Caenorhabditis elegans: one gene and its partner. The protein of the gene in region 2 interacts with the protein of the main gene of each other region in a pairwise test. Each region holds a gene or a part of one and is shown on either strand. Other genes may lie near its edges. The genes, in order: metl-13 and str-131.

The links.
Region 1: the proteins of str-131 (region 2) and metl-13 interact in a two-hybrid assay, tested with the Caenorhabditis elegans proteins (one large-scale study listed by BioGRID).

What each region holds. Positions count from the first base shown.
Region 1 is NC_003282.8:6,632,921-6,638,745, forward strand, and holds metl-13 (Methyltransferase domain-containing protein), read left to right. Parts: upstream 1-2,168; 5' UTR 2,169-2,171; coding exon 2,172-2,257; intron 2,258-2,495; coding exon 2,496-2,721; intron 2,722-2,795; coding exon 2,796-3,007; intron 3,008-3,052; coding exon 3,053-3,164; intron 3,165-3,216; coding exon 3,217-3,335; intron 3,336-3,381; coding exon 3,382-3,519; intron 3,520-3,567; coding exon 3,568-3,754; intron 3,755-3,798; coding exon 3,799-3,970; intron 3,971-4,229; coding exon 4,230-4,417; intron 4,418-4,464; coding exon 4,465-4,609; intron 4,610-4,663; coding exon 4,664-4,908; intron 4,909-4,958; coding exon 4,959-5,099; 3' UTR 5,100-5,235; downstream 5,236-5,825. Other genes in the region: C01B10.9 (Bis(5'-adenosyl)-triphosphatase), read left to right, coding at 1-261, 319-598, 930-1,050, 1,097-1,258, 1,326-1,598, 1,710-1,772; C01B10.7 (TransThyretin-Related family domain), read left to right, coding at 5,659-5,751.
Region 2 is NC_003283.11:8,079,613-8,083,737, forward strand, and holds str-131 (Serpentine receptor class r-10), read right to left. Parts: upstream 2,068-4,125; 5' UTR 2,067-2,067; coding exon 1,793-2,066; intron 1,628-1,792; coding exon 1,549-1,627; intron 1,502-1,548; coding exon 1,225-1,501; intron 1,178-1,224; coding exon 1,049-1,177; intron 1,004-1,048; coding exon 755-1,003; 3' UTR 537-754; downstream 1-536. Other genes in the region: catp-3 (Cation-transporting P-type ATPase N-terminal domain-containing protein), read left to right, coding at 1-15, 94-207.

The DNA of each region.
Region 1 (5,825 bases), on a different chromosome or scaffold from region 2:
TGAAATCATGGATGAAGGACGCTGACGACGTTATCGATGCTTTTATTCGAGAGAAGGAACCTGTTAATTTCCTCGCTTGGTATGTAGCAGAACCCGATCACACACTTCATGGAAACGGATTTCATAACAAGGAAATTGAGAAAACATTAAAGAAACTTGACGATCTATTTCTTTATTTTATCAAAAAATTCGATGATAATAATTTGGGAGCTGATGTGAATATTATCCTAACAGCTGATCATGGACATGCAGAAATTAAAGGTAATAATTTAAAATAGTTGAAATTAAAATCTTCATAATTCCTAAAACTAAATTCAGATCACAAACATGTCATGTGCGTGAAAGATTATGTATCTGGCGCTGGATTCGAAATGGGTGATCATATGATTTATCCACACTCGGATGAAATTGGAAAACAAATTTATGCAAATTTAACATCAGCAGTGAAAGAGCATGGATATGATGTGAATATTCATTGGAGAGAGGAAGTTCCAGAAAGATGGCATTATCGAAACAGTTCGCGAATTGGAAAAATCGTTTTCGAGCCGCAAATCGGTTCTTCGATTTCGTTTTCGTGTACGAAGGATCTTATGGAAAAGTATGTGGTTTACAACCGGGCTGTGCGGCAAATTTTTCTGGCAAACGTAAACAATAGTAATGCAGAAACAGGTGCATTCTATCTGAAAATAATATTTAGCTTTGTTGAATAATTGGAAAAAAAACCTTAAATATTGCCCGAATGTTGTCATTTGCAGAATAACTTTTAACGGCACTATTTGAGACCTTTGTCAAGTTTTTCAACAAAAACAAATATCATTTTTAGATGGAATGGGACATTTTTTCTTGAATTATCATATTAAAAAAAGGCAGTTTGATCCGTTTACCGGAAAAAATATTACAACGATTAGTTTATTGAAATCAACTTTCAGGCAATATGGAGAAAACGGAACATTAAAATTCAATTCATCAACTCACGGACAAGATCCTGATCGTCCAGAGATGAGAGCTTTCCTTATTATGAGAGGCCCAGCGTTTTCTGAAAATTATACGGTATAAGCTAGGCATTTTGAGAACTGTATGATAAATATTCTTTCAGATTGCCGATATTCCTTCAAATGTGGATTTGTACAATATAATGTGTCATGTGCTTGGTATCACACCAACTGAAAATAATGGAACCATGGAAATTGTGAAACGAGCTTTAAAAGAGAACAGATATTTACCAATGACACATGGTTTCGTATTTAATCAGATTACGGTAGGTTATTCCACAGAGTATTTGACTCAATTCTAAAGCTTATCAAAAGCACATAATTTTTCTTCAGGATTCATGGAGTTTTTCGCTTATTTTAATTCCTTCAATGTGTATTGTTATAATATTCTTCGCTTATGGATGTAAGAATACCGTACTCAAATCTGATCCCAATTGGGGAAGATCCGATACAGTTCAAGGATATCGGCCATTGAGTAACCGGACGAACGAAGGATTCGAATTAAATGATGATGAGGATGAGGATGAAGGAGATGGATTAAGGAATTCGATAGATTTAGAAAGAGGTGGAAGAAGGAGTCAAGCAGGAGGTGGTGCACTTGGAAGTGTGAGTTTTATATTGAAATAATCGGAAAATCAAATATCGCTCGAAATTATTTTAAAGAAAAAATAAATAAAAAATTACCCGAAATGTTCTCAAAAATGTGTAGATTTTCAGCTGAACAATGGAACGGTAGCAATGTCTGGACTACTGGATGAAATGAGCGATGATGATATTTGATCTTTTTAATATAACTTTTTGCATTCAAATTGTAAATATTTCTTGTGACCTCTTTATATATTTCCCCCATTGTGCCTTCGATTTCTCTTTAATTTCTGCAGAATATTCAAATCACAAAGCAAAATATTTATCTCTTTATTTGTCCTAGTCATCCTTTCATCTCTTTTTGATTTTTTTCCCCGGTTGTGGATTTTCAGGATTTTCAAAATCATCCAAAGACAGTTTATCAATTTTCAATGTGATATATTTTCAAAAAAGATTACTTAACTTTAATAATGAATGTTTCTCATATTTTTTACTTCTTAATTATAATTTTATTTTCTTTGGTTTTCATTTAGCCTCATGTTTTATTTCGAGTATTTAAAATGATTATTTTTCTAGTTTCTATAGTTTCAGGCCATGTCCGCTCCAAATGAGCCACAATCTTTCACGGATCCAGCGTACTGGAAGAACTTCTTTGCAAAACGAAAATCTCCATTCGAATGGTAATTAAATAATTATATTTCTTTGTTAAAATATGATGTCTTTCAAACAAAATTAAAAGAAAATTATCACATCACTATCAAGTGTTTTTCAGATTTGTCAAAGAAAAATTATCAATGTTTCGAAAAATAACTTAAAATATTGACCATTTTTCTTCTTTTTAGATAGAAATTTTTCCTCATCAACATACACAAAAATTGAATGCTTTCGATTCTCATGTAAAAATTTGAATTCTTTCAGGTACGGTGACTATAATTCTTTATCAAATGTAATTGATAAATATTTGAAACCGAAAGACACGTTCCTTCAACTTGGATGTGGTAATTCGGAATTAGCGACCCAACTCTACGATAATGGATTTCATTGCATTCACAGTATTGATGTAGAACCATCTGTTATTGCCACACAGATTCGTAAAAATAAAGAACGACTCGGAATGACTTTTGAGACTGGAGATGCTGCTAATGTGAGTTTGGAGAATGTCCCGTTGTGCACAATGAACAATTAAAAGAAAAGAAATTCGAAAATAATATGTTATAGCTATCCATGGCCGATGAAGCACATACCATTGTAATTGATAAAGGAACTCTCGACGCTCTTCTTCCACCATCAGCTTCAGAATCCGATGAAGCATTGGTTACAAAGATGTTCGAGGAAGTTCATCGTGTATTGGCTTCTGGTGGAAGATATATCATTGTCACATTGGCTCAACCACATATCACCGAGTTCTGGATTAATCACTTCTATCCATTGTAAAATATTCATTTTTCTCAAAAATCTGTAAAACGTTATTCCAGAAAGCAATATATCCTACGTGTTCAAAAAGTTGAGAACAAGGCTTCTGGATTCCCAATGCCAGTTTTCTGCTTTATTGCCACGAAAATGCGAGCACCAATGCCAAATCCATTGGTAGGTAGATAAATTGCAAATTATTTTATTTAAATAAAACCTATATTTTTAGCCTCTAGAAGTTCTTCGCTCCAGCTCCATCCGTACTGATCGTATCGATAGCACTGACGAATTGAAGGATTCTATTCGTGGAGAACAGGAGCTCTCACAATTCATCTACCTGTGCTCGAAGTAATTCATTTTAGTTTTTCCCTTGAAATTAATGAAATTAATTTAGAAAGCTGGACTCTGAAGTTTCAATCGACTTTCATGGAGCAGATCCATCATTAGGACCACGTTATCGTATCTGTGTTGTTGATAATCCAGAAGCCAAGAAGATTGACACATTCGCCGCATTTGTGGTTCCAATTGGACGGTTTGTATAGAAAACATTTTTAAATTCGAATTCTTATATTAATTTCAGTGATTCTGAATGGCTATTCGCCTCACCAAAGGGACGAAAAGCTCTTCGTGTTCAATGTGGCCGCGAACGTCTCGCAATCGTTTTCCTCAACAGAAATCAAAAATATGAAAAAGGAATGGACGGTGTGAAGAGTGATATTGGACATTTTGTTGGAATGCTGGATGTTAGACAAGATAATACTGGAAATGTATGTAGAATTGAACACGAAACATATGAAAACCCGATTTTCAGTACGAAATTCTATCCATCGGAGGAGTCGATGTTAAGCGAACCGTTTCAACGGGACGTTCGGATATCAATGGTGGTTGGAGTGTTGAAGAAGTTACTGTTGAAGGAAATCAAACTAGAAGACTAGTTTTTCTGAATACGATGAATCTGGTACAATCTGAAGCTTATCTGAAAAGTTAGTAGTTGAAAATTTCATTTTTCAACCCCCTTTAAAGAGTAAAATGGATTTATTACAACTGAAAAATCAATGAAAACTGAGCAGCAACGAGATTTGAAAATTGCAGTATTGTTTAAAGGCGCACATCCTTCTGTATTATTTTCGGTGGAAAAAGAATAACATTTCCCATCTTGTTAATACACGAGAGGTAGTTTATCAGAATTAAAAAAGAACGGTTTAATGATGCTCACCTCAAAATTTAAAATTAACATTACAGCCGGAAAGAAGAAGCAAACGGTCATAGATCTCGATCAATTGGCATGCGATTTCCATAGAATGATGATCGGATCCCTAGCCATCAGTCCGCAACAACCATTAGCCAAGAATGATGCTCAGTGTAAGATGGCTGTTCTTGGATTAGGTGGTGGACTTTTGACTGCATATCTTGTCAGACATTTCAAAAAGGTATCAATCAAGTCTAGAAACTTAACAGTGCTAAATTTTCGTTTCAGGCTCATGTAACCGCTGTGGAACTTGATCCAGAAGTACTCAAAATCGCAAATTCTCACTTCTCGTTCCCCCATTCGGACGCTAGAATTGACGTTGTCATCCAAGATGCTCTTATTCATCTCCAGGAGACTGCAAAGAAACCTGAAGGTATTTAAAATATCATGTTCAAATTTTATTTTACAAATCAATTCTTATTTCCAGAAGAGAAATACGATGTGATTTTTGTGGATGTTTCTGGAAGTCAGAACGCTGCTCTTCAATGCCCACCATCCGCCTTCCTTACCCCAGAAGCTCTAGGAAATATGAAAAACTCGGTGAAAGAACAAGGAATGATTAGTTTGAATTTGGTTACACGCGATTCGGAATTCGGAAAGTCGATTAAAAAGAATATCGCAGAGTATTTCCCAACTCTCTACACAGTTCTGTCCTTCGAAGATGTTAATGAGGTAAACTAAATTAATTATTGAAATTCTACTAGCAAATATATTTCTTTCAGATTATCATCGGTCTCAAAACACCCAAGAACACAATAAAACCAGTGGTTCCTCAGAAATTAATCAACACAGTTCGCAAAGATATTGGAAGCTATGATGAGGTTGTCGGTGCTATCTCAAACATTCGTATGGTTGATTATTAATTGCACAATTTCGTTTGTTATCTTGTTTATTTTCAGTAATTTTTTATTATATGTATTCGATTGTTCCCAGTTATTCAAATTTTCCCCCGTTTGTTGTTTCGTTTGTTCACCTGATGAATTTTGTTTTACACTTTGCAAACATGTCTAATGTTCTCACGGTGCAGTGAAAAACAACTTTGCAGGAAAAACAACTATTAACAGCATATTCGATATCTCGACGCGATCCTACTGTACTTCCGATGTAGACTATTTGGAATTCCACTAGGAAGTTGTGCAAATTATCTGTATTTGATTATGCGGCCAAAACTATTCTATAATAACTTTGGAACTAAAAAATATTTTCCGTCACAAAATATGAAACTTTTAATTTTTGATCGTCAGTTTTTCTACAAAATAGTATTCATTTTGGTAGTGATCTGTACTGCAGAAATAGATTAATCTCTAAAAAAGTTCAGACAACGAGTAATTTCTATCAAACTGTGTTTTTTAATCTTTTAATTTTTATTTCCGCCTCTCACCGTGCGGTTATAAAATTCATAAGTTCACTTGTGCGGCCATCATGGTTCAAGTTAGTACTGTACTTTCTCTATTTCTATTGCTAATATGTCTAGTTGATTCCAGTTCTGAACCAAAACGTACAATGATAAGAAAGGTAACTAGGGAAATTAAAGCCTTCCAATTAGGCCCAAAAATGCCGGCCTACTTCGTACCTACCTCAATACAATG
Region 2 (4,125 bases):
CCACCACCATGGGAGGTAAGTAAAGCTCTGGATTTCAAAACTTTAATTTCTGTGAATTGTAAACTCAATATTATATTAATTTGAATTTTTTAGTGCTGGCTTGTCCCAGTCATTGTCGGAATCTGGATCTGGATCTTCAACGAACTCCGCAAATTCGGAATTAGAAACTATCCGAAAAACAAATTGGTTCGATTGGTCAAGTGGTGATTGCAAATGGTCTCATGTATATATTAAAGTGCTTTATTTTCATTTATCGATATTTTTCTCCAAGTAAGTTAGGAACAATGAATGATTTTCTCTTGCTTATCTCTTCATACTATCAAAAACCGCAGGGTGTTAAATGACGTTGTTTTTCTTCACATGAAGAAGGTGTGATGAGAAGAGATTTTCTCTCTAAACTTTGATAGCATCAATAGAACAAAGACTAAATGGAACTTTCTGTAAAATGTTTATCTTCGCACTCAAAAACGATAAACCACACGTAAAGTGCGTTGATGATCAGAGAAGTTTTCATTGAAAAAATTTTTAAAAACAAGTTTGTTTTCTCGAACCTTTATTATAAGACAAAACACAAAGTCTAACTATTTTTAAACTCTCTATTTTTTTATTTTCAAGTAACGTTTTTGTCAATTAACGTTTTAACAATTAAAAAATTGCAAAAGTTTTGACTGGTTCAAATATACAGATTTGTTTTTCAAATGTTCTTTATGGAAAAAACAACCAAAACATCTAAAAATACATTTCTTTAAAATGTTCAATTGCTTTTTGCTGCGGTTGAGGCAGCAGTGCTGGTTATTCTCGCAGTTTGCCTGATACATTGATTAAAACACAGTGCTTTTCTAAAAGTTTTGATGCAAAAAATTGCGATTAATGGTTCGACGGCAGGGTAGATAGCAGTTGAGGCGGCTGCTGAGCTTGACAAAATATCAAATTTAATTTGAAACAGCGGGAAGATGAACAGAAGTCCAACAGGTCCATACATCAGCATGAATGGGAGGAGAGTCTGAAAATAAATGATCATTAGAAATTATTTTTTGTTATTTTTTACCTGCAAACTCAATGTGACAAATAATTGTCTATTGAGCTCTTTTGTCCGGTTGCTAAGTGAATTTCCAGAATCGTTCATCTTTTTGTATGTTTTTACGCCACAAAAAACAATGGTAAGACAGCAAACAATCTGAAAATAAAATTAAAGCTACAATTTATTTACAGAATAATATTTACCATCAACGCAGCTAAACCGAGTGATCCAATACAATCTTTCATATTCCAATGCTTCGTTCCATTTTCATCAAGACTCCAAAAAAGACCACTAACAAATGACATCGTATTTGAATCCTCGTTGTAAAATTCCATGAATGGTTCTTTCAACATTTCTTGTTTTTCGACAGTTATATCCAATCCAAAGAAGCAAAAGAAAAACCAAATGACGGAGACAAAAATCGCAGGGATAAATATCAAAGCCAATCGGCGGCCTTCTAAATAGTGCAAAGACTTTGGTCTGAAATTTTTTGTAATAAGTTTTTTCGTTGAATCTAGAGAACGAACCTACAAACTGCAAGATATCTATAAAAGAATTGTGTAGAAAGTAGAGAAATACACAAACCAAAGGATGATCCGAACAGGCCTAAAATATTAAAATTGAACTCAAAAAAAATTTTAAAATGATAGTTCAACAATTGCTAGTCACATTCTATATAGAATTTCCATTTAAATTTTAAGATTCTCCGCCAAAAAAATAGGATAATGTAAATTCCTAACTTAAATCAAAACTAACAAACTTAGAACTCACATGTGAATAGGAAACCAAAGATTGGAACATTCCGAATAGGTCCATGATTGACTACCACGTACATCTGTTTTTCGATCACCACCAATGGCAGAGTTATAATATCGACATAATTGTATAGTATAGCATAAAGAGAAAAGGCAAGCATCAGGTAGCTATAGGCACCTAAAACTTTCCGAGCCTTTGTCCATATTAGGTACAACAAAAGTCCATTGGTACATTGGGAAACAGCAAAAGCAGCAAACTGAATGTAATGGATTACTCGATAAAGCATCATAGAGTCGTACAAAAACACCCTAATACTAATTTTTGGAAGTTAATTTATACTCCAATCAGAAAGAGGCGTTTTTAAGTTACTGGAAGAATGGAGGAAGTGTAGTCTTGAATTGAATTGTATTAATATTGAAATCAGCTGCTCCGGTTGTCTGTGATTCATTCTTTCAAAGGAAGTGAAGAAAATGGGAGGAGTGTCTGTCTCAAATCACATACTGATGCACAGAACAGATTAAATGAAGTAAAAGAATGGTGTGTCGGCTCGGAAAAAAAAAACAAAAAAGGTAGAAAACAGAGTAACATTGTTTTGATGACTTTACACTTTTTTGCAGAAATTCGAATTATTAATTCTGAATGATTCTTTTTGTAGAAACTAGAGATTAGAATAACTTGGACACCTGGCCATTGATGTACCCGATGGAAATTGCAGCCAAATTTCTTGAATGATTTTTGATTTTTGGGCTGTTTCAAATAATATCAAACTGAAAAACCACAAATTCATAGATGTCTAAAATATTTTAAAATCACATTTTTTAAACACGAAATCCGTAATCATCATACCGTTTCTGATTTGTTGTTTTTTAATGGATGTTTCTGAAAGTGACAAATTATAATCCTATTTATTAATATTTTCAAAACAAGCCAACTAAAGTATTTCGAGTACAATTCTTATTATTCCGTGATTGGGAGTGATGTTGCAGGTGATTCTCGATAATTGGGAAACATTGGGAAACTGATGAAGTGCATTCAAAAATTTCAGATGTGTCGTATTTCTAAGGAAGTTATCAGACAAATTCCAGAAAGGAATTTATTAGGAAACTTGCTTTACAAATTTTACCAGTTGAAGCAACACAAAGAATTTTCAATCTGTGGAAATTCAAACTTTGATGAACATCCGATCTCTAAATTATTATTTTTCTTTCAGATTAATATCATCATCACACTACAAATACACATTATTACAGAGAACGCTTGTCGTGCTAATTCCATAACTACAATTGATATCACTAATTTATTTCATTCAGTTTTTACAATACCATCATTTTGTACTATTCGAAATTATTTTTTACAACAGCTATACTTGTCAAAATAAAGACTGTGTTCGTTTTCAAATACTTCGGGACAGTATTTCAAATTATCACTACGCGTTTTGGAAAGGTTTAATGCGAGTTATAGTGATAATTGGTTCAATTGGCGAGTACACAACATGATAATGCTGAAATACTGAATAACCATTTTGCTCCCATTCTTAAAAACAGTAACACTTTGAGAATTCCGATCGGAAACTACAATAAAACAACTGAGACAAACGTCTGTAAATTTCTATTTTACTGAACTTTAGTTGTAGTTCTCAAAATGCGTTTGATCAACATCTCATGATCTCAGTGATTTCTGCTTAAAAACAATGAGAGGGTGACGTAAACCTTATGTTCATTCATTTGGACTATTAAGGGGAAGGGGGTAAACGTTTTGGGTCTCCCAGAAATTTGAAAATGTTATTGCTTTTAAAAACTATAACAGCTTTTTGAATTTAATAGAACTGCTATGAATGACAACGAATAGTTCAAACTATATGAACTCACTATCAGTTCCTGAATTCCTTAGGTCAGTGTACTTCTCAAGGTTTGAAATTATTTGAATAATAGGAAGTTATTTAATTCCTTAGCTTGCTTTCAGTTATTTGGCTTACCTAAGCTTTCTGAACACAATGAAATCTTTTCAAATAGATGTTTTTATTAGTTGAGTTCATAATCAGAAAGTGTATTTGACGTCAATAGAATAAAATTCTTCCTGACCAAAAAAAAAAGATTAATGGGTGATCACGGCTGAGAGGTTAAAATGTTGTCTCTTTTGAACATGATACATGTAGAAATTTTAAGGTTTTGTATTTTTCGAATTGCAAGTTTTGGCTATATTTCCATTCTGCCGCCACTTGAAATTTTCCATTTGATCGTTTCTCAATTTTAAAAGATTTGTCTAAGCACTAATGATAAATTATTCGACCATGTTTTTCAAGAGTGTGACGGTATCTTGATTTTTTTCGAATGCTTACATATATTTGC